Lonchura striata: one gene and its partners. The protein of the gene in region 2 purifies or fractionates together with the protein of the main gene of each other region. This does not show direct contact. Links are inferred from orthologs where the notes say so. Each region holds a gene or a part of one and is shown on either strand. Other genes may lie near its edges.

Region 1 (7,476 bases), on a different chromosome or scaffold from region 2:
AGAAGATCTCTACCTGCTTTGTTTGCATCGGTTACTTCACACTGCTGAGGGAACAGACTGGGAGCAGATATAAAAATGAAGTCACTGCTCTAAAAACACCCACCAAAATGTACCTGAATCCTCCAGTGATCTGCAGGGAGCTTTTACAGCACCCCAGGCAGATGTCTGTTATGCTGAATGGGTCACAATCCCAACATTCCCTTTAAGGGCCACTCTGGGGAGCTGAAAATTCAGGGGACAAAAAAGCCCTATTCATTTGATGCTACTAATTTACAGAAACAAGAAGCATCTCTGGATCAGAGAGCTAATAAGCATGTATTTGAGCTCCTTTTCCCCTATCCAAATCTAAACCCAAATCCATTCCCATCCTTCCAGGATCCTGAGCTGACTTTTCCAAAGCTGCTTTCAAGCTACACATCCTTGTGCCTTCCCTCATCCAACTTCTAATCAAAAAATCACACCAACTCTATTAAATTACCCAATTCCCCCCTTGGAAACATTCTCATTCTACCAGAGTGATCTGGGCACCTCAGCTGGGGAACCTGACTCTATTTCCAAACCTTTAACCAAGACACAGAGAGCTTCCCAGCATCAGAAACAAGATCCAGCAACTCCCAGGGAAGGTTACCCCTTTACATCCAGGGAAATATTCTGAGTGCACTCACACAGATCACAAACCACAAAGACCTTGTTGTTTAGTCTGATTATATAAATATTTGCCCCGAATCTAAGATACACGGCCATTTTTGGACAATAAGCCAGAGTTTAGAGCATAAACTAAAATAATCACTTTCTGCTTGCCTGAAGGTGAGCTTCCTTTCAGCTGTGAACCACTGGAGCCTCCTTGACAGACCCATACCCACCCACAAGGAGATAAAACCTTTCTAAGAAAGTTATTTCCCAGTATTTCACTGAAAATAACCATCGAGAGCAGTTTAAGTGTCCGTACAAGCACGCGAGCCAAGAGACGGGGGAGTTATCTCTGGCATGTGCCACTTGAGGAACACACAGATAAGCTGGCAGCCCTGGCAGCTCCTCTGCACCCTCAATCACGGCGGGAGGATCATGAAACCATGCCAAGCTACATTTCACTGCTCTCACACACACAGGGGCACGAACCCACCGGGAAAAGGTTGCCAGCACAGGAGAACCTCACCCACCGACCTCAGCAAGGGCTGGAGTCACTGGCAGGAACACAAGGGGAGCTGAACGCACAGCCTGAGGCATGGGGAGGGCAGCTTCAGGATCCTCTGCGAGCCCCCAGCTCAAAACTCTTCTACTTTTAAAAAAAAACATCATGAAGAACAAAGCTTGTTGCTCCTACTTCCTTTGAAAGAGGGCATTTCCTAAACTTACACCAACGCAACAATGCCACAATGCCCATAATTCTGAATCAGCTTAATTTTCCTTCCTGTGTTCCTGAAGAGGAACTGATATTTTCCAGAAGACAGCACGGGCAGTCGTGTAATGACATTAATGGGAGAACCTAAATGACCAGTCTGAGAAGTCCTGATAGACAAGTTCCCAAAATTGCTTCTGCGTGTATCGGGTGGCGTTTGAGTAGTTTCAATAATTACATATGTCTATGCAATGAAAAAATGCGAACAGACTTAATAATTGTGCATCCACAATGCTACCTGGCATTGCATCACTACTGTGGTGGTCTCGGTTAAAATGAGAAGCGTTTATATTTCCTCCACCTTTGTATCTCAGCCCTAAAGGAAAAACGGCATTACCCTCAAAGAAACACCCTCACCACATTAGTTTTTGAAGTAATACTCAGAGGGAAGAAAATTAGCACAATTTTGACATGGATTTTGTGTGGCTCCTTGAAGCCCCTGTGCAGCAACCGGAGCTCCTTGAGAGAGAACAGAAACCATCGCTGGCTGCTGACCTTCAGCCCCGGGAGCCTCGCCCCTCCTGCCGGCCCCGACCCCGGCCCGGGACGGGCGAGCACCGCGGGTCAGCCCGGGACAGCGGCACGGCCCGGGAGCGGCACGGCCCGGGAGCGGCACCGGCCCGGGAGCGGACCGGCCCGGGATAGCGGCACCGGCCCGGGACAGCGGCACGGCCCGGGACAGCGGCACGGCCCGGGAGAGGCACCGGCCCGGGATAGCGGCACCGGCCCGGGACAGCGGCACCGGCCCGGGACAGTGGTACGGCCCGGGCCGTGCGGCACGGCCCGGGACAGCGGCACGGCCCGGGAGCGGCACCGGCCCGGGACAGAGGCACCGGCCCGGGACAGCGGCACCGGCCCGGGACAGTGGTACGGCCCGGGAGCGGACCGGCCCGGGCCGTGCGGCACGGCCCGGGACAGCGGCACCGGCCCGGGAGCGGCACCGGCCCGGGACAGCGGCACGGCCCGGGACAGCGGCACCGGCCCGGGACAGTGGCACGGTCCGGGACAGCGGCACCGGCCCGGGACAGTGGCACGGTCCGGGACAGTGGCACGGCCCGGGACAGCGGCACGGCCCGGGACAGCGGCACGGCCCGGGACAGTGGCACCGGCCCGGGAGCGAACGGGCGGCAGGGGCCGGGCTCGGCGGCTCCCGCGCTGCACCGGCCCGGTACCACCGCGGCGAACAAAGAGACACGCCGCACCGGAGCCCGCGGCCGCGGGGAAGGAAGGCGGGCGCGGGGAACACCGGCTCCATCGCCTTTCGGTCCGCCGGGCCCGGCTGGACCGGGCGGGGACGCCCACATCCCGGTAACGCCCCCCGGCCCCCGCGCCCCCGGCACCGCCCCCCGATCTCCCGTTCCCCCGATACCTCCCCTTCCCCGCCGCCCGCGGCCGCCCTAGCCCCGACCGCAGCCGCCCCCGCCCCTCTCAGCCCCGCGGGCCGCGCCGCCCCGCACCTGCCCCTGCCCACCGGGGGCAGCGCTGCGCCGGGCCGGGGCGAGCCGGGAGCGGACACGGCTCGGCTCGGCTCGGCTCGGCTCGGCTCGGCTCGGCACCGACCTGCCCGGCCCCGCGCCGCCGCCGCCGCCGCCGCCGCTCCGCTCCCCATCGGCCGCCCCGCCCCGCCCGCTGACCGACGGCCCGCCCGCCAATCAGCGCCGCCGCCGCTGCGGCCGCGGGCCAATCCGCCGCGGGGAAGGCGGGGCGTGGGAGGGCACAGCCAATGAGGCGGCGCGGAGGGCGGGGCCGCGGCTGAAAATCCCTTTTGTTCGCGGCGGAGCGAGCGGGCGGCCGTGATTGGTGCGTCACTTCCGGCGGGGCGGGGCCGAGGCACCGCCCGGGCCGCCGCCCCCGGCCCGCGGTTGTATCCCGGGCGGCTCCCGGTCCGGTCCGGGTCCCAGCGGCGGGAAGGGCCGTGCCAACCCGGGACAGGGGAACACGGGCAGTGCCCTCAGACCCCTCTCGCTGCCCGTGGCAGGGCAGTGCCCTCACAGCGACTCTGAGCCCCGGCCCCGCGTCACTGCGGGACAGTCCGTCTCCCCCGACACTCCGGGTCCTGCTGCCTTCATGGCGCCTGAACTTGGCATCACTCTGGACACTGATGGTTGGCCCAAGGACGTCCATAATATCTCTGTTTCCTTTGTGCAGCAGCCTTCTAACAGTGCTGCTTTGTAGCAGGGCTCACCTGGGCAGTGCCTCAGCTGGGCAGTGCCTCACCTGGGCAGTGCCTCACCTGGGCAGTGCCTTACCTGGGCAGTGCCTCAGCTGGGCAGTGCCTCAGCTGGGCAGTGCCTTACCTGGGCAGTGCCTCACCTGGGCAGTGCCTCACCTGGGCAGTGCCTCAGCTGGGCAGTGCCTCACCTGGGCAGTGCCTCACCTGGGCAGTGCCTCACCTGGGCAGTGCCTCAGCTGGGCAGTTCCTCAGCTGGGCAGTGCCTCACCTGGGCTGTGACTCACCGGACAATGACCCACCTGGGCAGTGACTCACCTGGGCAGTGCCTTACCTGGGCAGTGACTCACCGGGCAGGTCCTCGGCGTGGGCACCGCCCTCACTGCCGGGCACAACTTCCCTCTGGGGAGCTTTCGCAAGGGCCGAGCAATGCTCCTGGGCGGAGGTGCTGTGCAGAAGTCAGCGTTTCGATTTCTTTACCTGCCGAGGCCGATGGAAGGGCCCCGGGTGCGCTGGGATGGGCGCTGGGGGAATGCTGCCCGCGGGGGCCGCAGCCGGGGCTCGCCGGGCCGCACTGCCGAGGGCAGCGGGATTTTTGCTGCCCCAGCCGCTGACCCAGCGCTCCGCTAAGCCGCAGACAGCGGGAACGGGAGCGAGCCTTTTCTTTCTGCGGAGAGCACGGCCAGCCGTTCCGCCCCTGAGCGTGCCACGAGGTGTGCTCGGCATCGCTGGTTCTGCAGGGCCGAGAACGGTTCAGTGGCCTTCCCCGCCACCGGGAGCGCCCCGAGCTGCACCGGAGGAGGTTCAGTTGGAACGTTAGGAAGGAATCCTTCACTGAAAGGGGGATTGATTACCCACTGGAATGGGCTGCCCAGGGAGGCGGTGCGGCCCGGGCGTGCCCAGCGGTGCGGCTCAGGTGTGCCCATCTGTGCGGCCCGGGTGTGCCCATCTGTGCAGCCCGGGCGTGCCCAGCGGTGCGGCCCGGGCGTGCTCATCTGTGCAGCCCGGGCGTGCCCAGCGGTGCGGCTCAGGTGTGCCAATCTGTGCAGCCCGGGCGTGCCCATCTGTGCAGCCCGGGTGTGCCCAGCGGTGCGGCTCAGGTGTGCCCAGCGGTGCGGCCCGGGTGTGCCCATCTGTGCAGCCCGGGCGTGCCCATCTGTGCAGCCCGGGTGTGCCCAGCGGTGCGGCTCAGGTGTGCCCATCTGTGCAGCCCGGGTGTGCCCAGCGGTGCGGCTCAGGTGTGCCCAGCGGTGCGGCCCGGGCGCATCCCCGCGCTCCGGTGCCCGCAAACCTCCGGTGCCCGCAAACCTCCGGTGCCCACAAACCTCCGGTGCCCGCAAACCTCCGGTGCCCGCAAACCTCCGGTGCCGTTGGCGGGGCTGCCGCGCCCCCGCGCGTCCACAGCTCCTGCTCAGACACAGCTCCGCTGCTCGGGAGCGGCTGCGCTGGAGCTGCTTTTCCAAATTCCACAGAGCACACCTAAAACATTCACATCTCAAAACAGCAAGGGAGCGCCTGTGTTTCCTTGTATTTCCAGGCTGGCACGGACCGTCGGCGGGATCATCTGCTTGCTGGCCATTCCTGCTGCAAACATTCCTGGTGCTGCCCAGTCCCACTCCTGGGAACGCAGGAGAAAGGAGACCTTTGTGCAGAAAGAGCTTTGCGTGAGGCTGATTGACTAGAGATGAATTGAGCCTGGAAAGGTCACGGATGCATGAATTACATCAGGGAACATCTGGCACCAAAAGCTTCTCTGTTCTGGGGCTTGGTGAGGACACTTGCAAACATCTGAAGGGATTCAGAGTCCTAAAGCTCCTAGGTGGTCTCAGGGGTGGCAAATAAACAACTGCAGCCTTTAAAATTAGTGCAATTGAGAGGAAAAAAAGGTTTAATGGCTGAGTCTATACAGAAAAAAAATTAAAGATAAAGAATATATTCAGTTGCCCACTGGTCTGCATTGAGGGGGCAATAAATCATCTGCACAGGACAGGAGGAGGCTTTTGAGGTCTGGAAGACATTTCTCTCCAGGCTGTTTGGTCACTTTACACTTTGCACTTTTTAACATGCAGTAGAGGTACAGGCACAGACTGCCCAGAGAAATTGTGGCTGCCCCATCACTGGAAGTGTTCAAGGTCAGGTTGGACGGGGCCTGGAGCAACTTAGGATAGTGGAAAGCGTCCCTGCCCGTGGCAGGAGGTGGAAAGAGATGAGCTTTGAGGTCCTTTGCAAGCCAGGCCATTCTGTGATTCTGTGATTGCCAGGTGTGTCAGATAGAGGCAGAAAAATCAGGTACCCTGAGAGTCTGTGCTGGGTGGGTTTCTGGTGGAAGGAAGCAGCAGAGACGGGCCAAGGAGAGGACAGGGCCGGGTGGCTGCAGCAGCTGCTCACAGATGAGGACGGGCACAGGCCTGTGCAGGAGGTTCTGGCTCCCTGGCTCTGTTGTGGGACCTGTGCCACGAGTCCCAGGAAGAGGCAGGGGCTCCCGGGGCGAGCCTCTCTGGGGGCTGTGGGTGCTGTGGGATGGGAGCAGGAGCTCTCGGCTCTTTGGGAAGCTGGGGGGGAACCGGGAGGGGCCCCTCCGCAGCACTGGGCAGGCTCCTGTCCTGCCGGCGAGGATCAACCACCAAAAACCCCCAGCAGGGAAAGAAGTGGTAGGAGAGATTTCTCCTAAGTATCACAGGCAAGAGAGATAAACCACAAACACAAACAATTAGGAAGAAGCACATCTGTCATGTTCTTGATGTTGTCGGAATGAGAATCCATCTGGGAAAAGAGCCAGCCCTGCCTCCCTGGGAATTATGTATTTTTTCTTTTTAAATATTGTATGACATCCATCTCTAGAGCTGTGTGTTGTTTGTGCTGGCATGTGGGTGTGTATTTCTGAAGGCTCCCCATATTAACACAAGATCTATAGTCTCATTTTAGAAAATTTGCGGCTATAAAAATATATTCTGGGTTTTGACTGAGTGTTTTTCCCTTCCCTCCTGAAACTCTGGAGCCATGTAAAATAGCTTCATAAAACTTGTAGGGCTTTTTAAAGTAGAAGTTACTGCCTTGCCTTGCTTTTCAAAATGCACCCTTGATTTTAAGTGTTTGGATATTGTTTGCTTTTAAACTAGTGAATGGTGGAAAGGTACTCTAAATTCCTGTTTTATTTTGTTGTTACTGAGAAAAATCCCATTATACCAAAGGGAAATGTGAATAAAGCATTTCACAAAAATGTATGGTATATAAGCAAAAAAACCCTCAGTCTTCTAAAATTAGTGTTAAAAAAAAAAAAAAAAAGGTAGAATCCTTTCAGCATTATCCCTTGAGTAAATGGCCTCCCTTGGGAACACAGTGGTGCCCAACTGAGTGTGAGCCCCTCCTCAGCAGCAAGAAGTCCTTGCACTGGTGATGGCTGCTCAGGGCCATGGGAGTCCCGGCTCCTGGTCCCTGCTGCTTTCTGGCTCTTGCCAGCAGGACGGACGGAGGGGCAGCACAAGGTCCCCGCAGCCTCAGCACGGCTCCGCAGCTGCTCCAGCCCTGCTCCCCCCGGGAAAAGGCAGCGGGCTGCCCCGGGACCCTCAGCCCTCCGAGCCACGCTGTGGCTCCTTCCTTCCCGTTCTCTGTGAAGGGCTGCAGTGAGAGCGTGCCAGCAGCCAGGAAGCAGCTCCAGTTCAAGGGATTTGGGAAAACCCTTTTTCCAATCAGGCAATTTGTAATTTCAATTGCTAAGTGTTTCCCTTCCATTCCTTGGCACTCTAGCACCATCTGAATTGGCTTTCTCAGCACTTCAGGAAGGCTTGTCTTACATTATGTAAGATTTAACAGCCATCATTTCTCCAAAAGTAATACAGAAAAGTGTTTTTTATGACACAAGAGGGAGATTTCTCATTTGGAAAGCTGATTCTTCGTTATTTTCAAA
Region 2 (7,620 bases):
CCACAATACTTTATGAGCTGAAGCTGACCAGGAAGAGCGCAATTTCAAAGGGTTTATGTGAAACCACAGCCACATTTAAGAGTTATTTCTGACTGCAGCACTTTCCAAGCAGCCAAACAAACAAACATAATTTTCCTCTGCCAAACACAGTGGAAGAAGGAAGCTGGTTTTAATAGAACTCATCTGCTCTTCTCTTTCCTTCATTGCCTCCTCTGCTCCCCAACTTCCCATGATGAACACTCACCTCTGGGCTACCAACAGTCTCTGGTGAAACTAGCTTTGTATCTAGAACAATTTGAAAGCTTCCTTGTCTATATGAAATCTGTGCATAGCTCTCTACAACTGCCAAAACCTGGGACAGTTTTGAATTTCTGGAGTATAGAAAAGAGGGAAGTTTTTCAACACTTTGAAAAACACTGTTTGAAACTCCCAACTCTCTTCACAGACAGTAATCTTTTGCTTCAGGAGATGAAGCATTACTTAGCCAAAAAAAACTAAATGGCTTCTCCAAGGTCAGGTAAGGAACAACAAATCTAGAAACAGAGCTCAAATCAAAGCTTTAAACATAGTAGCTAACACAACTACATCCCCTGGCAGATATAGCTCCAGACCAAGACTGCAGGCCTGCAGCACTGTTTGCTCACAGCAAAGGGAGCCAAGGAAAGAGAGGAGACAACCAGCTGAGGCAGGGAAATGGCACCACAGAGGCAGAGCAGTCTGGGCAGTGGCCTGAGGTAACTCTGCCCATCAGCACCAGAACTGAGAATCAAAGACAAGTCAAGCCTCTGACAGCCCAATGCAAGTCTTAATCTCTTGATTTTCACAGCACCTCCCTCTGCTCCCTAAATCCCAGTGAAGAAAACTTCAGGCCAGTTCCTACTGCCCTCCCAGCAAGCCTCAGTCACATCAGGGATTCCTGAAAAGACTGGAGGAATGGACAACACAGATTGGTTTTCTATTCCTAGACCAGACAGTCATGGGATGACAGGGTCTGAGAATGCCTAACATTTCCATAATAAATTCAGAGCTGAAACCACTAGAATGCTAATAAGCTTCATGAGTGAATGCTGTGTACAAAAAAAAGCTTCAGAGAAACCTCCTCTGCAGCTACAGAACTGTTCTCAGCCCTAATCAGACAGTATCCTTCCCCTTCTCTCCCTGTACAGTGACTCAGCCAGGCATTATATTTACATTTAATTCCATACACACTTTGGGGAAACAGTTGATGTGAAAGACAGCATGCAAACTGAGATGCATTGCAAATCAATTTTAAATCAGTAAAGGTTCAAAGAGAGCATTAGCTCAAACCACTAAATCTTTTAGTAATTCTGCACCTAGGAGCAGAACAGAATAATGCCCCCAAACATGGTTTAAGAAGACCTGTGTTCAGTATTGACATCTGCCAATAATCAAACACAACCAAATTCAGAGGGAAGAAGATGCAAGCCAATACTATTAATATGGTTTAGCTTTTAGTCCCAAATCCTGGCATCATCTTTCCACACTCCTCTTGTGAAAATGTCATCACAACAGCAGCATTTAACCACATTCACAGAGGCTGAGATCTCTTGGAAGAGTTATGACCCAGTATCAAATATCACTGCCTCTTAGGCAGCAAGGTTACAAGCACCATTTTTCTGAGACTAATGCCATGAACACTTTAGAAAGGTATGTCTGGCAGGGCCAGCATACACAGTTTTTCTGTTCCCATTTCTAGACTTCTCCTTCCAAAAAATGCTCAGAAAGCCAATGACTCCCATCTCCCTAAAAAGTGCACACTTAATCCCAGAGAAAGCCTCCATAGTGGGTGAAGAACTCACTTTGTTTATGGCTAACACATCACTATCAGCCCAACACCAGGTACAGAGTCAGACACAGGTCAATCAGCTAACAGGAGTAAGCTGAGACCTGTGCAACAGAGATAAAGAGTGGCGAAAAGTGATTTTCTGGTTATTTGTTTGAAACCCTTTTATCAAGAGCAAATACCATTATGTAAACCCTTAAAGAGGGTTTTAAAACAAACTCTTAATCACCACTTACCTGGCTAGCAAATTCTCTTAGGTGAGCCATGCCTGCAGGATGGGGTTTTTGCAAAATCAGGGAGGATTAGGATGTTGCAGCACAGCAGGAAAGTGATGACTTCTCCACTGGTCAGCTGTGACAAGCAAGAATACATAGTTCTCAAGTGAGGTTCTTGGAAGCTGGCTCATTCCCCTGAAGAGTTACCAGCATCTTTTTTCTCTCCTTGAGCTGAAGTGCTACTTGTACCTGCCAACACGTTCTGAGCATGCTAGGCCCTCCTTGCACACCGCATTTCTCAATTCTTTACAGAAATGCCTTCCAGATGCGTCAAGGAGCCTCACTCCAATGTTACACACTGACCAAGTCCCAGGCTCCATTTTCCCTACCATCACCTCAGCATGCTCCTACAGCTAACCCCACAGTTCTGCCTCACCATCACTCCCAGCATCTTCTCCAGCATCATCCTCAGACAATCCTTTTCTCCTGCTCAGCAATCCCCTCACTGAGAGCGCTCCTCCGCTCCCACTGTCCCCGGCACGGCCACTGGCAAAGCTCAGCTGCTCAGCACGCACCTTCCTCTTCAGGGAGCACCAACCCTGCACCACCCCGGCCTCTCCTCAGCGGCCCTCCCCTGCACCCCAGCAACAGCTGAGCCCCGGCCCAGCCCACTCCAGGGCCCCCGACCCCAGCACCCCCCGTCCCGGCGCGGCCCCACATTATCCCCACACCCGTCACGGACACCGCGTCCCACCTCACACCTCAGAGCTCTCCCCCCTCCCGCGCTCCCCTCGCCATCATGGGCTACTCGGCGCGCCCCGCCCGGCACCCTCAGGGTCCCTCCGTGGCTCACGGCCGCCCCGCCCGGCGCCGCCGCACCTAGGGGCAGCGCAGCGCCACCGACGGGAGCGCCATGCCGGGCCCTGGCGCACGGAGCCGCCGCCGCCCCGGGCTGCCCCGCGACACCAGCCGCGGCGGGGGGAGCGCCGGGCCGGGCGCAACAACACGGCGCGGCGGCGGGGGAGGCCGCGCCGCGCGGCACGCCGGGAGATGTAGTTTCCACGCCGCGCAACCCGGCAGCGGGACTGAGTTCCTGGACTGCAATACCCAGGATGCCGCGCGCGCAGCGGCGGGGCGGAGCCGCAGGGCGGGGCGGCGGCGCGGGGGTGGCTGGGGCGGGGAGTCCTGAGGCGCGGGGGGCGGGCGCTGCCCGGCCCGGCGGCCCCGCAGTGACGGGGAGGAGGTGGCGGGGCAGTCGCTTTGTGCTGCCAGCCCAGCCTCACGGGGCTTTCCTCTCGCCAGCCCTTACGGGACTGTGCCCGGGAGCCCGCCGGGTGACGCCAGGGAGGCCCGCCCTCAGCTGTTCTCCTGCCCGTGAGGGTCAGGGGCTGTCCTCTCCCCACCCCCGGGCACGCCAGACCCCGGGGGAGGCGGCGGAGCGGGAGGAGGACAGGCGAGGGACGGAAGCTCCCTCATGGCCTCGCTCTCAGCAGCCGCAGGGTTGGGTTTTCTTTCACGTGCTGTAATGTCAGTGACTGATTCACGTTTTTCAAAGGAATAAATTTTTTTTTTTTTTTCTTAGCCGCTTGCCAGGCAGCTTTAAGGCCGGTCCCGCAGTGAACAAAGCAGGCACAGGTTTTCCGTGGCGCCGACACACAAAGCCTTTATCACAACCTGCTGCTTCTAATGGGGAGCTGGCGCTGCCCTGGAGCACAGGTGAGCTGTAGCGAGAGGAGCAGCCCTGGAGCTGTCGCTGCGTGAACAGATGGGTCTGGCAGCAGCCAGCAGCTCCCCCACAGTCCTCTTATTCCCTCCTGCATTGCCTCCCCCATCCGTCTCCCTTCTCTCTGTTTCTCTGCCCCCTATCAAATCAAACAGCACTTTGAGGTACCTGAGTGAAAACATCAAATAGATAGAGTACAGGTGTCAAAAACTCCCGCAGTGAGATTCTGGTTTTGTATTTAAATCAGCTGTACCTCACTGGGAGGTTTGCACAAAGCTCTTGCCTATAGGATCCTTGGGTTGCTGGGGCCGTGAGTTTATACCTGCAGGACCAGCCTTCTAGCCCCACAAAATCAGACCATCTTGTCTCATAAACAGCCCTCTTCCAAGCATGGCACCTTTACTATCCCAGCATGGCACCTTTACTTAGATCTATGAACAGAGAAACCAAAGCTTCATGTGAACCATGAAAGGAAGGATAGTGAAGTTCTGCTCTGGTTCCACTGTAGCAAGGACCAAGGGGTGAGCTGTTCCCTGAGTCCCTGTGTATGCTACTTAATGACTGTTTGACCTCAATGCCGCAGCTCTCCACCTCTTAGCACATGGACAGTCATTAATTCAGCCACTGTTGGCATGAGGCCAACAGAAGGGCAGAGGACTTACGTTAATTAATGTGCCAAGTCTGAACATACACACAGGAGTAGCAATTAATTGGTTTTGTCAGTTCAGGATAAGTCTTTCAAAAGGGTGATTGTCATGTGGGGTTAGCATGGCAATTCCTTCTAAAACTGCTAAAGCTGCCTCAGGAGCACAGGACACAGAGGAACTCAAATGTGGGCTGGTGTTTTTCCTCATCCGCTTCGTAGCCTGTTGCTCTATGGCTGGGACAGGAGAGGTTGTGTGTGGGATTTTGGTCTGGCCACCACTTGGAGGAAACCATTTATGGATCAGTAGCTGGTCACTTTGGACACTTTGTCTGGGACAAGCTGGGGGTACAGGGACTAGAGATGATTGCTCTGTTGTCAGGCAGCTGTTTCTGGGCCTGTTTTGTAGGGGAGAGGATTATTAATGTGCTCAGAAGAATACAGAAACAAATGCTGATTCTGGGGAAGCAGGTGTGCCTGACTTCTCCATGGTTGTCTATGGCATGTTTGTATCCATCATCACCTCCATTTTATTTCCAGAATGTATCAACTGAAACCAAAGTCTTGCTCTCTGGTTTTCAGTCAGTGCTGTATTCCTAGCGGGCTGGATCTCCCTCTTTTATTTTTTTCATTTATTTTAGCAATTGTGACTACAGAACAATCATACTACAAGTTGTGGATGTCTGTAGATATAATTTTTGCTTTAGTACCCCAAAATTACCTGTGCATTGCACCATCTACCTCCACTGAAGGAAACCCAGTCCTTGCCTCCAGGAGATCCATGTTTGCAAAAAGCCAGCTAAGCAAGTGCAGAAGAGGAGGTATTTCAGCTAGAGGAAAGCACCAGAGAGTTGGTTATGTGCTGGAGTGGCCAAGCCTACAAGACTTCAGTTGCTGAGTGTTCAGGGTTACAGCTTTCACCTGGCCCTGGGAAACAGGGCTGTGGGAAAGGGAACTTTGGGCAGGACTGTGTTTTCTCCTGCCTCTGGCTGTCAGAGTAAGCTCCTCCTGGGTCTGTTGGGGTGGTATGGAGGATTACCTTGTACCTAGAGCAGGTGGGGATGATAGGGAGTCCCCTGTTGCTGATGGAGCAGGGGGATCTCAGGGCTGAGCCAGCCTTGCTGCTCTCCCTTCCTTCTGTGCTAATTCTGATCATGCTGGTTAGTCTTTGCCTTCATGGCAAGTATGAGTAAGTTCTTACCTGTCCTTACTTTTGCTTCAACAAAAATTTATGTTTTTCATGCTTTCCGTGTTCCTACTCCTGTTCCCGTGCTTTTTAAAATTGGTCAAGAGCTTTGAGTAGGGACAAGTCAAATACCTACACATGTAAGCTCATATATTTGCTGTGTGTGCTGAATGGCTGCCTTAACCTTGATTCTGTGGGGAAATCAAGCTGAAAAACAAAGGAATCTCTTGTTTGGGGTTTCTTCTATTGTTAGGGTTTCTTACTGCTTTTTAGAAGTTAAGTCTTCTCTATTGTATGATTTTTCAAGAGGATAAGATTGTTACTTTTTTCCTTCTCCCTTTTCTAGTTCTTTCTGTTAAAGCAAAGGGATTAACCTCCTGAATGATAATAATAATAAAAAAAACTTGGTTAAAAGCTGGTGACATTAAAATGTAATATTTAAATAAGTCTTCTGCTCAACACCCAGCCCCTAAACCCTACATCAATTATGAAAGCTACTTACAAGTAAGCTGTGCTGCAGTCCCCATTCCCATGGCAAGTTTTGTGTGCCCATGGAGTCTGCTTTTTCCTGTCCACAGAACTGGAGCCTTTATCAGAGATGTGTTATAAATCTTCTCTCTGTAAAAAGGCAGCTATTTTAAAAAATTTGATGTTTTCTGCTGGCAGTGTGGAACAAACACTGCTTGAGACAACCTTTATAATTCTCATATATAAGAGAAATCCTGACCCAGGTATTTACAGCTTTGGCCCAATGAGCTGACACACCTGGCTATGTTTCTATGAAGTCCAGAGAAGGGTGTGAATAGTTACAAGAAGCTTTGTCTGACATGTTCTTAAATGTCCCACTAAAGTAACTCTGCTTTTCCCTTTTGCTATGGAGTGTGTAGTGAATCACCAGAACACCTGTAACCTTCTCTCCTGATGTCCCCTACCCTTGATCTATACTTTGGAGAACAAGGAACTTTTCAGCAAGACATCTCAGAGCTGCCTTCCTACTCGAAGGTAAAAATGCTGCAGTTGTATTACTGTATTCCCATCTGTTGCATACCTGCTTGGGTCAGACAGGGGTGAGGGGGTGGGTGGGTATGGAAATGTGTGGTAAGACACAAAATCATGGAATCCTATGGGCTGCAAAAGCCCTCTCAGACCATTGGGCCCAACTGTTCCCCCAGCACCAGCCCGTGTCACCAAGTGCTACACCTACACTCTCCCTCCAGAATGGTGAGCTCACCACTACTCTGGGCAGCTTGTGCCAGAGGCTGACCACTCTTTTGGGGAAGAAATTTTTTCTGAATATCCAATCTAAACCTCCTCTGACACAACTTGAGGCTGTTTCCGCTTGTCCTGTCCCTTGTTCCCTGGGAGCAGAGCCCGACCCCCACCTGGCTTCATGTCCTATCAGGCAGCAGAGGGAGGTTGCCCTTGAGCTCTTTGCAGGCTGAGCCCCTACCAGCTCCTTCTCATCAGACTTGTGCTCCAGACCCTTCCCCAGCTCCATTGTCCCCCCTTTGTACATGCTCCTCCCAGTGAAGGTTAGTCTGGAACCCCATGTTCTGATAAAAGCAAAGAACGCTGGTCAGTAGACAGTGTCTAGTACCACTGCAGGCTTGCTCCAGCTATTTATGGCCAAAACAAACCATGAGGGAAGGTCCTCAAGAGCTAGCACTCTACATCCTACCTGCTCTGGGTTGTGAAATCTTCATGGTTGGTTCAAGCACTGATAGATTTTTCTGTATTAATTACTCAAAATACCCGGATTTGCATTGTTCTGTCCATCTTGAGAAACGTGTTATGACACTGCTGTGGGAGAGGCTGTGCAGGTATCCTTGGGAGAGCTGGGCAGAGCAGTGTGGTATGGCCTGCTGTGAAATGTCCCTGGGGCATGGGGCAGCTGGTCTGGTGTGTGAGATGGGGACACGAGCCTGCTGCTCAGCCTGCAGCAGCTCAGGCCTTTCCACCCGTTCCCCCTTCCTCACATGGAGAGCCCTCCTAGCGCCCTCGCCGTGCTGACCGTGCTGTCAGGGAGCACTGGTGGCTCTGGGGCAGGGA
Region 3 (7,646 bases), on a different chromosome or scaffold from region 2:
GCCCATCTAGAAGACTCCATTGTCTCTGAACCACCAGACTGTTCAAACTCATCTCTCACTCTCCACACATGTACCCTGATCACCCAGGAGAGGGATGGAAGTTGCTCTCTACAGCTCAAAGATATTCCTGTCCCTACAGCAGTAAATCTAGTTTCAGATCTGTTTCCCTCAACCTAAGTATTTTCTCCCACAACAGTCAAACCAAATGAAAAAAACTTCTGGGCAAAAATAAAAAGATACGAGCACCTCCCAAAAATAATCACTGAATCATAGAATGGCCCAGGCTGGAGGTGACCTCAAAACATCATCAAGTCCAGTTTTTCATGGAGAAGGGAGCCTTGTTGAGATTATGTAGTACCCTGTTCAGTGACATCTTGAAAACCTCCAGCTCCACCTGGTTCCTTGGGGAGCTTGTTCCCGTGAGTGACTGTTCTCAGCATAAAAACTGTTTTTCATATAAAGATGAAACCTCTTCTTGAGCAATTTGTACTCATTGCCACTTGTCTTCTCCATGTGGGTCCTTGAGAAGAGAGAGCCTCTTTGTGGTAACCCTTTAAGTGCTGGACTACTCTGATAAGGTCTCCCCAAAGTCTTCTCCAGGCAGAAAAGACCTAACTGGTCCTTTCTTCACTGGGTGGGTTCTCCAGCCTTTTGATCATCTTGGTAGCCCTTCTTTGGACCCTTTCCAATCTGACTGTGTCTTGAATTGCATAGATCAGGAGCAAACACAGTATTCCAGGTGTGGCCTGGCCTCTAATGGGTTCTTGGTTATATTGTCCCAGGTGCAGGACCATGCCTCTTGTCTTGTCAAATAAACCTCATACAGTTCTTGCTAGTCCACTCTTCCAGCCCTTCCAGGTGTCTTTGCAAGACTACTGTCACTTCTGACATGTCCACCTCACTACCCAGTTTAGTGTCATCAGCAAACTTGGGGAGGGAGCTTTCAACCTTGTTTTGTTTGTTTTAAGCTGTTTCACTACACAAACCTGCCTGACCACAAAACAAAAGCCACAGAGTTGGCAGGAGGGAGGCAGCAGTGACATCTGGGCTGGGATAGCTGACTGCTACTGAGTCACAGGCAAAGCCCCAGGTTTTGGTTACTGTAAGTTTATCTCATTGCTTGGAAATGCATTCTGCCAGCTGAGCACTCAAAAGCAAGGAGTGCTGTGACACTGAAGCCTTCCTTTGGCTCTGGCTGTTAGTGCCCAGCCAAAAAAAGGAAGTGGTCAATCAAGGGGAAAAGTTGTATGAATCAGTCCTGGAGCACATTTTGTGTGGGATTACGGATTGTAAACAATAATAGTGATCTGCTGTTGGTACAGTACTTTGTACAACAAGCCATGCTCTTGTCTGGAGGTTTCCTATGACCACTCTTATGCAAATAACAAGTCATGATAATACCATGTTTATCACAACACTAAGTCAACCATAATGACTATAAATGTAACCTGACCTTCACTTTGGCTAAACCCTATTTCTTTCATGGTTATCTCATATCTCAGTATACATTTATTTCCCTATTTTGTCTATCTGTTGCCTGTTCTTTTATTTTCCATACACTGCCTCACACAAGAGGCTCTGAACTTTAACCATGGAGCTTTCTATGTCTACTGAAATTCAAGTAAAAACCAGATAGCTTCCCATCAGTCTAAGTTTTGGGGGTTTGTTTTTTTTTTTTTTTTCTGACTGCTCCATTCTACCAATTCTTATCAAATCCAGGACACATACAGAGAAAAAGAAAAGACAGACCCCAAATGAAAACTGTTCGTGAAAAAAGTCCAAATCAGGTGACTAAGACCCTCTTTGATCACAGTTGCTTAGTTTAGTGTGTCAATTCTCAGTTATATGCAGTAGTAAATACAACAAGCACATTCTGTGAGAAGAAACACAAATTTTGGCCTGTAACACAAGGCAAAGGAGTCAGACTGGCAAGAGGAGTTTTATGAACATGGGCTTGTTCTCTTGTGCCTCTGTTTTGGGCAGCATTACAGCGTACAGACACTGACAGCTGGATGTGTCACCCTCCACTGAGGCAGGAGGACGATAGAAGAAATTCGAAACGCACATAAAATACTGTTTTGCTACATTAAGTATCAACCAGAAATGTCAGTATCACATGTTAATTAATGATTAATGCTGGGGGAAGGAGATGCATACCTGACATATTTTTAAACTGGTATAACGAGTTTTCACCGAGCAGAGGAGGGAAGTTCTCTATAATACACAGTAATGGGCTGTGTACTTGGAACTGTGCTCCATAAATTTCCCCACCTTCAGGACAGAATGTGTCAACACACAGCTGGTCTCCTAGAATAAACTCAGTGCCAGGACTAGTAATCAGTAATGCTGAAGAATGAGGAAAGAGGGAAAAAAACATACAAATGGTTATCAAAAGGACAAAAAACCTCTTTTGGACTCACCTGTTGACAGGGCACATTTTTAATGTGAGACTACACCTGATATTACAAGGTGATAAGAGTAAATCAAGAAATAAAGAAAATAACACTGTGGAGCTGATAAAGCCCTGTAACTGTAAAATCTTCCTCAGAATGATGTCCTACTTAGTAAGGAGAAATTTAACTCAGGCAGGTTGAATTAGCATATAATACATTGCAAAAATAATACATTGACGTTATCTAACATTCTACCTTGATGAATCTCAAAGCACTCTCCCTTTGTGTATTGATGTTCCCATACTGGAAATCTGTAAAGTACAAGCTTGCCTTTAAGTATATTTTTGAATTAAATGTTCCCAGAACAGAGATGCTCTCCTTAGCTGGGGTGTCCATGCTATATGCAATAGACACCACTCCCACTTTGCTCCTTGATGAAATAAGGAGCTTTCCTCTCCTGTGCTGTTGTGTAAGAGTTGTTACGCAGGACAGGCATATGATCCCACACCAAGCTGTTGTCAGAGCCAAGAATAAAAGAGAAAGATGGGATTCATTTAGCCTAACATCAGCAAGCTCTAAGCTGGGCCCCCAGACAAGAGAGACACACAAGATTCAAGTCAGGTTTCACCACTACAACCACTAGAGACAGATTTTCTTACAATGTGGTTTGTCCAGCCTCTCTTCCACTGGTGGAAAGTCTCTCTCTCTTGGCTGCAGAATGACCAAAAAGCTTGGATTAGGCACCAGCTTCAACATAACCAAAAATTACATAACTAGATTCTTAATCATTTGCTTTCCTCCTGGACACTGCTCCTGTAGCTTTGAAGAACACTTGAAAAAAAAATTACACACTGGGAATGGGCTTACCTTGTCAACCCTCACTGACCCACATTGTATATCTCCCCCTTCCCTGTTCTGTAATGCCATTTATTTGGGTAGGCCCACATCTTTTTAAAACATTTCTGTCTTCCACACTTTGAGTACTTCTTGCGTTAGGAATATTTCAGCCACCACAGCGTGGGTGAAAAATAATGATTTCTGAAAGCAGCTTGAAATTTTTACAGTGCAATAGAATTCAAACTGCTAATTTGCTGGCTGCTGTGGCCTTGCACATTGAAGAAGGGAGTGGACACAATCACCTGATAAATACCTGTGACTGTGACTATACATTAGTAATAAATAAGAGTACAAATAGGCAATATTTGTTATTGAGCTCTTTAGTATATGGGTGGCACAGATTAACAAGGCATGTAAACCTTTTCCCCACTGAGGAGGCAGACTCAGGCAGTCGTGACAGTGATTTTTCTCATTTACCCTCACCATTTCCCAGCAGCTTAGTGGAGGGACAAGCCCCTCAGACACCAAACCCAACATAGTTTATGCCTCACAGAATCATAGAACCATAGAATGGGATGGGTTGGAAGGAAACCTTGAAGATCACCCAGTTCCAACTCCCTGCGACAGGCAGGGACATCTTCAACTAGACCAGGTTGCTCAGAGCCCCACCCCGCCTGGCCTTGAACACTTCCAGGGATGGGGGAGCCACAACTTCCCTGGGCATGATCGGGGCAGGTTTTACCTCGGGGTTCTCTGAGGCAGCCAAAGGTGTCACTGTCCCCTCTCCCACTGGGACCACCACGCACGCAGCTCTCTGTGTCTCATGACACAGTCTCATGGGTGCCTGTGGAGACCCATGTCCCCCACGCATTGGAGGGACACAGAATCACAGAGTCGGCCGGGTCGGGAGCAAGCTCAGCGGTGAAGCACAGGATTTTGTCCAGACTGTTCTGGAATATCTCCGGGGAGGGAGACTCCGCAGCCTCTCAGACAATCTGCTCCAGTGCTCGGTCACTGCTCAGGACAGAAATTCTCCCTCATGGTCAGGTGGAATTTCCTGGGCATCAGTTTCTGCCCTTTCCCTCTTGTCCTACTGGGTGGCACTACCGAGCAGAGCCTCTGACACCCTCCTTTTAGATACTGATAGACATTGATGAGCTCCTATCTCGGTCACCTCTTCCCGAGGCTGATCAGGCCCATCTCCCTACTTCCTCACAAGTGAGATTCTCCAGACCCCTGACGAACTTCGTAGCTCCAACACACCGAGCTCCGCTCCTCGCGGCGCCCCGGCCGCCTTTCGGAAGGGCAGGCTCCCGCCCTCACGCCCTGCCCCGAGCGCCGGGACAAAGGCGGCGGTCCCGCCCGGGCGAGGCGGAGCCGGGCCGGGCCGAGCCACCGCCCGGCCGCTTTATCCGCCCGCCGTGGGTGGCGGCCGGCGCAGTGCGCATGAGTTCTGCTCGGCGGAGCTGCTCCGGCCACCTGCCCGTCCTCCGCCGGGAGCGGCGCGGACCCCGCAGCCGGTGAGTGCCGCCCCTCCTCGGGGGGCTCCCGGCTGAGGGGGGCTCCGCTCCCCGCGGCTCGTCCCCGCCGGGGCTCGGGTCGCTGGCGTGAGGGGCGAGCTCGCCCCGCGCCGCCTGCCCCCGGCTCGGTGTCACTGCGGGGAGAGGCCGCGGGGCTGCGCGCCCCTGCCAGCCCGCCACGGGAGCGGTCCGGTGTTGCTCTTATTACCCACTAATGGATTTTTAATTATTCTTCCCTCCTGTTCCAAGAGCAGCGGCGGCCGGGACGCCGGGCGCTCCGTGCGCTGGGTGGCGGCGGGACCGGGGACAGGGCGCAGGGGCCGGCCCAGCCCCGCGGAGCGGCTGCGGGCCCGCGTTCGTTCTGGTACGCGGGCGGGGAGCAGAAAAACTATCAGCGAACTGCTGCCCTGCCGCGTGTGCGGCTTGGCTTCCCACTGTTGAGCTGTTAAATTTTTTTACCCCCGTGGATTTCTTGTTCTTTCCTAGCATAACCTAAAATTTTCTTCTGCTTATCGGTGACTTTAAGAAACTATATTTAAGCAAACGTTTCATACCTGTAAAACTTTGATGTATGCTGTTCCTGCCTGGCTAAGGGTGATGAGGAGCAGCTGCCTTATGCCTCCACTTTGCTTTCCTTGTCTGCAACTTAGGATTTCCAGTGGAAAAGCTGTTGGTGTAAAGACTGGCAGGTTTTAGTTCAGGATACCTTTTTCCCCTTCCCCCTCCAGGTGCCTTTTCCATCTGGAGGTGATAAGCATGAGATAGCTGGTGCTTCTTAAGATCTTAGGTGGTTTGGGTGAGGTTTAGTGCCCGTAAAGAGAAAGCACAGCCTTAAAAACGCTCTTGGGATTTTCAGTAATCCAGGATCTCAAGGGCATGTTTCCTGAGTAGTTTTTGTTTTAGTGTGGCAGCGAGAGGAGGTTGCTGGAAGTGGAGCTCTCTTGTGCTTGGTTCTGTGCATGGGTGTAGCAAGAGATGATTCCTGTGGTAACAAGCATGCAGATGGAATAGGAAAGAGATAAAACAGCCTCTTCCGAATTTTTCTAAACATTTTCCAAGGATTTTAAGCTGCAGCAAGTATCAGAAATGTAACAGTTATTTCCTTTCCCCTCTCTTTATGAAAGACTTCTTTCTAAACCCTAAAGTGTAAGTTTTAGCTTTAAAAGCTTTTGCAATTTCTGGCTTATGCTTATAAAAAGGTATTATTTTAAGACTTCGATACAGATCCTTGACTAATGCAGCATTGTAGATGGCCTTGCTTGTACAGGCACTACTTTAAAGAATTATGATTGTGGCTTTTCTCCTTCCTTTACAGGAATTACTGTTGTATAAGAGGGGAGCTGATGTTTAAACAATGAAAGGGGGGAAAATGTTGCTTGCTTGGGTCTCTATGAAAGGAAGATACTATTTATTTCTCAGAAATGGAATACATTTTCCCAGCAGTGTCTTTCTTATCAAGGATTTGTTTGGGGGTTTTACTATACGGAGTGAATGAGTAGACTTAATTTTTATGACTAGAAATACGAGTAATGCCTGGCATTAGAAAGGAACAGAGAGATTTATATATTGCATCTGTTTTGTCAGTAGTAAAACTCCTCTCATCTTGTTAGTTATAGCTGCTTTTTCTCTGCATGCCTCTGAGAGAAATATTAACTAAGAATGTTGGCAGATGGATTGCTGGTTGGATATAGTAACTGGAACAACTTAACTCCTGAGCAGTTGACAAGTCTCAGGCTGACTGACCTTCTGAAATACTGGAGCATGAAAATAAATGAGCATATGAATGTGGCTTTCAAAGCCAGCCAGACAGGCTGCTACTGTTACCAAATCCTCTCTCCTCCTTTTTTTTTTTTTTTTAATTAAAAAATAAAAGCAAGTGATTTTAATTTCCAGTATAACTAACTGCTTAAATATATTCTTTTCAGTTGGGTGTGTATGGATGATCCCTGTATCAAGTAAAGTCCAGGGCCAAGACTCTACTGCTCTTTTTTGCTAGTGCTGTTTTCAGCTTTGTTTACCTTGGGCAGACAGACCTTTATGTACTTACATAGGAATGAAATGTCCAAAATTAGTTCATTTTTAAAGTAAACACCCATGCTTTGTGCTTCAGACGTCCTCTGCTTTCTTCCCCACACCAGCACAGCAGTCACAAAAAGAAACATAGAAGAGCAGCCTAAAATCAGTTGTGAGACTGTGACACAGCTGTACTGGGGCTGAAAATTGTCTTGCTATCCTAAATACTGTGTAAAACAGGATTTGGCTCACCATTGCTGTGACTGTAGCAGCAGTTACATAATGAAACCCTAAACCCCAGTAATGCTGCACCTGTAACAAGACAGAAGTTGACTAATTACAGAGGCGTCTGTGCCTAAAATTGTTTATGTACACTTCATGGTTCTAAAGTGTTGGCTGTCACAGATAGCACCACCCTAATGTTAACAGGAGAGATTTAAAAAGAGTAACTTGAAAAGAATGGGACGCTTTCCTTGTTGAAATTTGCATGAAGCAAATTGAAGTCAGAGGAGAGCTCAGCCATCACCTGGATGTGTTTAAAGTCCCATGTGGGACTGGAGAGGCAGCTCTGGGTATCACATGCAGTTCTCCCACTGAGCAGGTGCTGGTTATCAAATCTCAACTGGAGAGTCCCAGTGAAAGCCTTATCTTTGCCCTTAGGTAAGACCTTAATCTACAGAAAAGTAACTACTTGTCACTGGCTGTGGTTTTATTTTTAGTTGGGGCAGGAAGTGATTCTGTCACTCTCAATGAGTGGGAAATGTGAGCACTTCAGAGATCTGTGGTGGTTCCATCCACAATGTTGTGTAGGAGCCTTTGCCATTGGCCTTCATTTCAGGCAGCAAGATTCAGCTGATGCTGCTGCTGATGTAGTGAGCTGGGG
Region 4 (7,820 bases), about 2.7 Mb from region 2:
CACATGACACCAGCGTAAGCCTTAGGTACTCCTGATCGTGCATTTAACAGCCCAGCTCAAGTCCTTTAAAATAATTCAAGACAGCCTCATCTTCTAATTTAACCTTTGTGTTTGCACTTGGGGGGTGGGGAGGATTTCAGCATAAAGTTTCACCTTCTCACTGCAGACATTCAACTTCCCTTTGGCTCACACCTCTGCACCTCGTGGTGCCTGAAGCACGGTATCGAGAGAAAACATGGGCAGAGAGAGAATAACACCTACAAAATTTCAGCTTTACAATGCAGAAAGGATAATATTTGAAAAATATTCAACTCACATTTTTGCTTTGCACATTATTTACATAAATAGCTGCAGGCTGTTATGGAACTATTAATTTTGAAGGAGCAGATGAGTCAAATCTTATTTTTGATAGGTAACTGCAAGATGCCTCCAATTAGACTAAGATAATCATACTTTAATAGCTGCTCTTGTAATTAAACCATATTACACAGTGTCACAAATACAGAAAAGCAGGGCCAGAAGGGAATTCAAAAGGCCACCAGGCTTCTTCCTGCCCCCTGCTTCCAAGCAGCACCAGCTATTTCTGAAACTCCACAAAAAAGCATTATTTTAGCAAGTGTCTAAAGCCTCTAAAGCACATACAGAGATTATCAGCTTTCAGAAGTATTTTACACAAAAAAATAGGCTGCAAACAATTCATGTAAACAAATCTGCAAAACTGAACAAAGAAATTATTCAGAAGAGAAGACACTGGCTAGTAGTTCTCATATTCACCAAAATGCCATAAAAAACCTTGGGAAGTGCAACACATACAGGGCAACAGTCAAGTCTCATTCAACCACCAGCCATTAATTAATAAGAGCTACACGACAGAATGCAGAAAAAGAGACACCATTCCCTCCTGAATAAGCCAATCAAGGAATTCCAAGAGGTGCAGTTTTAATATTATCACACCCCACTGGGAATATACATTTGTCTGGGCTTGATAATACCCAAAGTGTATAATTATCTCTCAAAGACATACTGTCACAAAGTATTACTCAACTGCTGCTTTTATTTGTAAACATACATATTTTTACAAATATAAATTCTGTTTTACACAACTGTGCACTCAACACACACAGAACACATCAAAATTTCAGAACTTTGTGTCAACATAAAGAAGAGCATGTCATTAAACTTAAGAGAAAAAAAATCAATGCTATCAGCATTCAGAAAAACTCAGCAGCATGCTAGTCCATATGTACAAACTCACATTCTAAGACTATCCTGCTTGTCCCAACACCACCAGGCGTGACTTCCTCCTGTCCCAAGGTGCTTCTGTCTGACCAAGGAAAGCTCCAACAACAGGTATGTTACACTAGTAATGAGATCCCCATCAAATACAAATAAATTTAAGTCAAGTGCATCCTAGCTGGCTGACCCAGTCGTTTCTCACACCACACAAAAACCATGAAGCTAACTGTGAAATACAATATTCTTCCAACAGCCAGTCCACGGCAGGCAGAAACCAATCAAGGCACCATCACGCCACTTACAGATCACGACAGGTGCCATCTTCTACAGGACAACTAAAAACAACAAAAAATCAACTTACTCCTGAGCCCATAAGAGCTTATTCTACTTCACAAATACTTTGTGGCCCTTTTCTTCTTCTGCAGTTAAAGGCATGTGCCACACCAAGAAGTATTAGGTAATAGATATCAATTAAAGCTACACAGCGTTTTAAATAGTAAAAAGCTATTATTTAAAAGCTTCGATACCAAGGTGCAAGCTCAGGATGTTACATTTCCTCTGACTACATGAGCTCTAGGTGTTAAAAAGGAAGACACACTTCCTGATAAACCACACTGCTAAGGATCTTGAATTAAGAGTTTCTGACATGTAAGTTTAAAAAAAACCCCACGTGCAGACAAAACTTTACCACATTTTGATGTTAATCAAATTTAATTTCTGATCTACACTGAAACTGTTCTTCCACGCATTGTTATTTGCCTCACTGAAACTGAAGAGCCTAGGTCATGTAATTTAATCTTTGACTCATCATGCAAATTAAATCACACCATTCCCACAAGACAGCATATAGGTTTTAAATAAATCCTGGGCACCTACATGATCCCTCACCAGAAATTAAAATATAATTTTTTTTTTAAATAGCAAAACCGGATACATCCTAGTTCCAGTACCGGCGGCATTCCGCCGATCTGCAGGGGAAAAAACAATGATAAAACTTTTCTTACGGAGCAGCGAGATCAGGCAGCGCTGGCTGGCTGTGGAGCAGCCTGCCGAGCGACCAGGCTCCGAGCAGCGCTCCCGCACGGCCGCCGCTGCGGAGGCCCGTCGGGGCTGCCTCAGAACAACAATTGTAGGAAGAGGCCTCGGGCCGGAGCCGAGAGGCCGCGCAGGGCAGCGCCGGCCGCACCTCCGGCCGCTCCGTGCGGCAGGGCCGAACAAAGAGCGGCGGTCGCGGCAGCGCCCCCGGCCCGGGCCGGCGCGGCCCCTCCGCGGGAGCGGCCCGGCGCTGCGGCTCGCTCGGGCCGAGCCGGGCGCGGCTTCGCGCTGATGGTTCCCCGGCTCGGCGCCCGAGCAGCTCGGGGACCGGGGCGCTGCCGCACGGGAAGCGCAGCCCCGGCCGTGCCCTTCCCCTCGGGCTGCCCGGCCGTGCCGCACGGCGCCCCCGGAGCGGCGGCCGCTATCGCCGGCCCTGCCCTCCGCCCGGGCCGGCGGGACGCGGCCGGGCTCTCCCGGCGCCGAGCGGACAAACGGGCCCGGAGCGCGGCGGGCACCGGCCGGGCCGCGCTACCCGCGGCCCGCGGGGCACGGCCCGGCCCGCGCCGGACAATGCCCGCGGCTCTCGCCCCCGCGGCCCCGGCCGCCCCAGTACCTGTGCGTCCGGCGGGCCCCGCCCGCCCGCTGGCGGCTCTCGGCTCCGGCGCTGCGGCTGCGGCAGAGGCGGCGCGGCCCCGGCTCGCCCGGCCCGTCCCCCCCGCCCCGCGCTCACGGCGTCGCACCGGCCCGGCCCTGCCGCCCGCGCTTCCGGCCGCGCCGCGGCGCCGCAGCGCCCCCTGCCGCCGCGGCGGACCGCGGGCCGCCGGGCCCGCCTCGGGTCTGGCCGCGCCCGCCTCGGGTCTGGCCGCTCCCTCGCGTCGTTGTTCACGGCGCTTTTCGTCCCGTGAGCGTCGCAGGATCACCGGGGCTGGAAGAGACCTCCCACATCATCCGCCCCAGCCATCCGCCCGCTGCCACTGCGCCCCTCAGCCACTCAACCACAGCGCCCAGCCCCAGGCGGAGACGCCTGTTGAGCGCCTCCAGGGTGGGGACTCCACCAGCTCCCTGGCAACCTGTTCTGATGCCTGACCTCCTGAGCACGGAAAAATGTATTTCTAATATTTTATCTGATTCTCCCACCCCAGCTTAAAGCCATTTCCTCTGGTCCTCTCACTGCAGACGTGGCAGAAGAGACTGGCCTCATCTCACTACAGCCTCCTGCCAGGGAGTTGTACAGAGCAAGGAGGTCCCTCCTGAGCTCCTGGAGACTGAACAACCCCAGCTCCCTCAGCCACTCCTCGTAAGACAAGTGTTCTAGACCTCTCTAAACCTCTAAACCTTGGTGCCCTTCGCTGGACATGCTCCAGTACCTCAATGTCCTTTTTAAAGTGAGGGTCCAAAACCTGCACACAGAACTCGAGGTGAAATTTATTCCTTTATTCTTTATTTGTAGTTAACTGCCTTTGTAATTACTATTTAAATTTTATTTATCGGTATTTATTCATTTGTTATTTGTACTTACCATTCTTTTCATCATTTTTACCCCACTCTGCCCTGCCCTTTTGCAGACCCTTCACACCTTCTGTAGTGTCACAAAACTTCTTTTCCATGCCACGACCCTCAGGGCTTCAGTGTGGGGTTGGAACTCAGCATCGTGCTTTGGACATGGTCTGATTGTCCTGATGCATCAGGTGCTAGTGATTTACAGCCTGGATGTTTTCTGCAGTCCCCAACATGGCATGGAAGCACTCCAGACTGGTTTTCTGTCCTGTATGTAATACTCACCTATTACTGGAACTGTGACAAATGCAAATCAGCCTGGATGGAGACAAGCCCACACCTCTCCCAGCATAGATCAAGTTGATATTGTCCATTAGTGCAAAACAATACATTTAAAGCAGAAAATATATTTTTAATGGAACAAGTAATGAATTTCTTACAAGCCACGAGGTGAAACCTTGCCCCAGGAGACCTGATGCATCACTGGCATGCAGCCATGTGGCACCTGCTTTCCCAAAATGTCCATATGCTTCTAGTGAGCCGAAAACTTATATCTTCAGCTTCTTCTTGATTCCGTGTCTCACATCCCTCTGCTGCACTTCCCTGTCTCAGTGCTGGGGAGGGTTTGGGTTGGGTTTCTCAGTGTTGAGAGCGTGTTGCTGCTCTGAGCTCCACACGTCACAGATCCCTGGCTGGTGAACCTCAGATGTCAGTGGGCAGAGCTGCCTCTTGACCTCTTGGAGGGTCTTCATCAGCTGTGTGGACATGGAAAAATGCATCTGAGCACACTTGCAGCCACACCAGCATTCAACAGCAGGGGAGCACAGAGGGGCAGGCACTGGGTGGTGGCACTGGGCGGCTGCAGCAGCACTGGTTCCACAGGATACTTCCCTGGACAAGCACCACGGGCTCCGCGTCCAGCCTGGCACCATGCTGGAGCCACGGGAGGCTGCCCCAGCCAATCCTGCCATGGTCAGCACGCCAGGGGACAGGACATGGGCATATAAACAAGTGTGTGTGCATGCATAGCATTTATTTATATCTACCTCCTAATATTTATTATATTTATTTATTAATATTTATTATATTCATTACATTTATTCCTAATATTTATTATATTTACCTCTTATATAATTTATATCTACCTCAAATATTTACTTGGTGTTGTAGGAAGATGTAAGAGATGTAGCAGTACTGGATCTGAAGCAGGAAGGGTCATGGTGCCTGTACAAGATGATGGGACCTGGACTCACATGTGGTCAGCAAAATTTTAGCAGCTCATATATCCCACTTGTGAGCTGAGAATACTTGATTTCAAAGCCAGCAGGAAAAGGGTGTGTATATCTGAGTTCAAATGGTTAACCCATACTTAGGCTAGAAGCATTCAGGTTTAAATGTAATAATCAGGGTACTGAGGAGAGACGAGGAGTTAAAGGGGAGCACTGTTAAAGGGATTCAATGTCAGCTCCTGGAGAATAGACACTACGGCTCTACAAATGACCACTGGAAAAGAGATCACACCAGAAATGGGTTCAGTACAATTGCCATCCCTGCACACGGCAGTGAAATCCCTGAGCAGAGGGAGCATGATTTTCCTAAGCTCTTAGAAGCAGGGATTAAATACAGCATGTGAGAGAGCTCCTTGCACACTAATGATTCGCTAATTCACAGCCATTACTGAGAGATCCATTGTGAATTAATTAATTCTTGCAAGTTAGGAAGTGAGTAAACATTAAAAAAATCCAAGTTACTTCACTGGGGGGAAGAAAAGGTATTTAGAAAGGCAAGTATGCAGGTGCTTTGATTAGGAAGGATAGAGCTGAATGGGATCCTGGGGTTTTCTGCTGCTGGTGGGGGGCCCAGGGAACCCTAAAGCTCAGCTCTAACTCCTCCCATCACCATCCCACACCAAAAAACAGCAAAACTGGAGAAAAACAATATGTCAGCCCATGAAATTACCCCTCCTTCAAGCAGCTCCATTTTGCTGCCCTCTTTTCTCCTTTCAGCCCTTACCTCACACACAGGGCAGCTGTTCCCTCCTGGAGGGCCATGGCAGCTCTGCCCTCGGCTCTCCACAAGGCCCTGTAGCCATTTCCTGCTCTGTCTTCTCTTTTCCATGGCACACACGAGCCCTTTCCCCTCGTGGCTTCCCTTCCTGTCCCCACTGTCCTGCTGGCAGCAAACCCCAAGTGCCTCTTTTGTCCCACACAGCGTGTCCCAAACTGTGTCCCACAAAGCATGTCCTGCACAGTGTGTCACATGCACTGTGTCCCACGCAGCGTGTCCCAAACTGTGTCCTACACAGCATGTCCCATGCAGCATGTCCCACACATGTCCCACACAGCGTGTCCCACACATGCCCCACACAGTGTGCCCACACAGGTGTCCCACACAGCAGGTCCCACGCAGTGTGCCTCCGGCCCTTGCAGCCAGCCGCACTCTTTGGGGTGTCACTGCCCCAAGTTTTACTGGTGGTGTCACAGCTGGAGCTGTGCCACACAGCTGTCACAGGTGTCCAGCACAAGCCCCGATTGTACAGAGCTCCAGCTGTGCCGGGAGCAGGCAGGGAGCCTGGAAAACTCCTGTGCTGTGGCTGTGTCACCCACGCCATGGGATGGATGGACTCCAGGCCTCCATGGCCTTCTGACACAGATCATCTCAAAAAATACTCTGGCTCCTCTTGCCTGCTGTCTGGAGGAACACACGAGGAGGGAACAGAACCAACACCCAGGAGGTGTTTTAACTGGGCATGGACTGGTGTGATTTCCAGAGCAGAGCCCATGTTCCTGGCTCCTGACAAAGTGCTTCAGGGAGGAAATATTACAAGTAGGGACAACTGCAGTTATGCTAATTTCTTCTGCTTAAAGTTCAGCAGAAGAAGAATCCTGAGTCTTTCCATGGACTTTGAACCAAGCTGTAGTGGCTTAATTTAATCACGAGTGCCTCTGACAGTTCCTGAAACTGCATTTCACCCATTACTGCCTGGAGACATTCACTGCAGACTCCTAAAGCTTTTCTCAAAGAAACATCTGTGGGTGAGTATTTTTTTACATTTCAGTTCATTCAATTAATACACAATGAGCAGACTTACACACCCAAAATCCTATTTATGGTAGAAAACACAATTAAATATAATTGTCTTTCATATCACTTAAGAGTTTTTTTCCTCATGGAGATTCAATGATTTATCTTTAATTTAAAGTTCCAATTCAGAATTAGGACACATTTTAAAAACATTATAGCAAACTACAAGAACTAATGGTTAGCATGTAAACATTGTCAGAAAAGAGAAAACAATTACCTGAAAAATCAAAGAAAAAAAATCTGGTGCAAATCCCTTTCCTGGAAAGCAAGTAATTTTAATAAACATTTTATTACTGTAGAACAATTGAAAGTTATCTGTTATGCACAACTTCCAGGGAGGATCTACTACTGAAGCCAAAACAAGGTTTTCATCAGCACTGTAAACAGGAAAGGAAGTAAAAGATGTCACCCTAAGAAACAGCAAAATGTACTGTAAGATGTACTTCCTGACCTAAAAACAAAAAACAAAACACCATACACAAAAAAGCAGTCAAATACAGCCATTAATTCAATTGAACTGGAAGCAAATACAGTAAGAATCCCAAATCATGCAGAAGGACACAAGGCTGTGAACACTGCTGAAAACGACTGTTGGGTGATTATTTTTAGATGCTTTCCCTGTTCTTTTACATTTTAAAGAAATTACAAGGTGACTAACTTTTCATATTTAAGTAGTGCCTGTTAAACTTTGAAGCTCACAGCCTCTGGATAACACTGCTGTGCACTTGCTTCTCCTTTTACCCCTTCAAAGGGCTTTGCAGAAACTGATTAATTAGCTCTTACAACAGAACCCTGTCAGGGGCAGGGGTTTAGTACTGCCCTTCAGCTGGATTCAGGCTCAGCTAGCACAGGAGCCCTTCCCACATCACTTGACAGCACCAACAAATACATACATGACCTTTTCTGAGACTCTACAGCTTTTCTGCACTTCTCCTCTGTTGGAATTTGTGGTATTGATGATTTTGAGA

What was found.
Region 1: the proteins of STK25 (region 2) and CTTNBP2NL purify together in Homo sapiens (affinity purification with mass spectrometry; 6 studies listed by BioGRID and IntAct, counting the BioPlex papers as one, with this or other methods). This does not show direct contact. The link is inferred for Lonchura striata from reciprocal best matches to the Homo sapiens genes STK25 and CTTNBP2NL.
Region 3: the proteins of STK25 (region 2) and PROSER2 purify together in Homo sapiens (affinity purification with mass spectrometry; 3 studies listed by BioGRID and IntAct, counting the BioPlex papers as one, with this or other methods). This does not show direct contact. The link is inferred for Lonchura striata from reciprocal best matches to the Homo sapiens genes STK25 and PROSER2.
Region 4: the proteins of STK25 (region 2) and CAB39 purify together in Homo sapiens (co-immunoprecipitation; 3 studies listed by BioGRID and IntAct, counting the BioPlex papers as one, with this or other methods). This does not show direct contact. The link is inferred for Lonchura striata from reciprocal best matches to the Homo sapiens genes STK25 and CAB39.

The regions. Positions count from the first base shown.
Region 1 is NC_134632.1:5,718,738-5,726,213, reverse strand, and holds the start of CTTNBP2NL (CTTNBP2 N-terminal-like protein), read right to left. Parts: upstream 3,016-7,476; 5' UTR 2,960-3,015; exon of another isoform or gene 2,857-2,959; intron 1-2,856. UniProt on the Homo sapiens protein: Regulates lamellipodial actin dynamics in a CTTN-dependent manner. Associates with core striatin-interacting phosphatase and kinase (STRIPAK) complex to form CTTNBP2NL-STRIPAK complexes.
Region 2 is NC_134612.1:4,926,751-4,934,370, forward strand, and holds the start of STK25 (serine/threonine-protein kinase 25), read right to left. Parts: upstream 3,009-7,620; 5' UTR 2,899-3,008; intron 2,893-2,898; exon of another isoform or gene 2,781-2,892; intron 2,156-2,780; 5' UTR 2,071-2,155; coding exon 2,041-2,070; intron 1-2,040. UniProt on the Homo sapiens protein: Oxidant stress-activated serine/threonine kinase that may play a role in the response to environmental stress.
Region 3 is NC_134607.1:67,129,821-67,137,466, reverse strand, and holds the start of PROSER2 (proline and serine-rich protein 2), read left to right. Parts: upstream 1-4,642; 5' UTR 4,643-4,750; intron 4,751-7,646.
Region 4 is NC_134612.1:2,237,467-2,245,286, reverse strand, and holds the start of CAB39 (calcium-binding protein 39), read right to left. Parts: upstream 3,002-7,820; 5' UTR 2,885-3,001; intron 1,274-2,884; exon of another isoform or gene 1,256-1,273; intron 1-1,255. UniProt on the Homo sapiens protein: Component of a complex that binds and activates STK11/LKB1. In the complex, required to stabilize the interaction between CAB39/MO25 (CAB39/MO25alpha or CAB39L/MO25beta) and STK11/LKB1.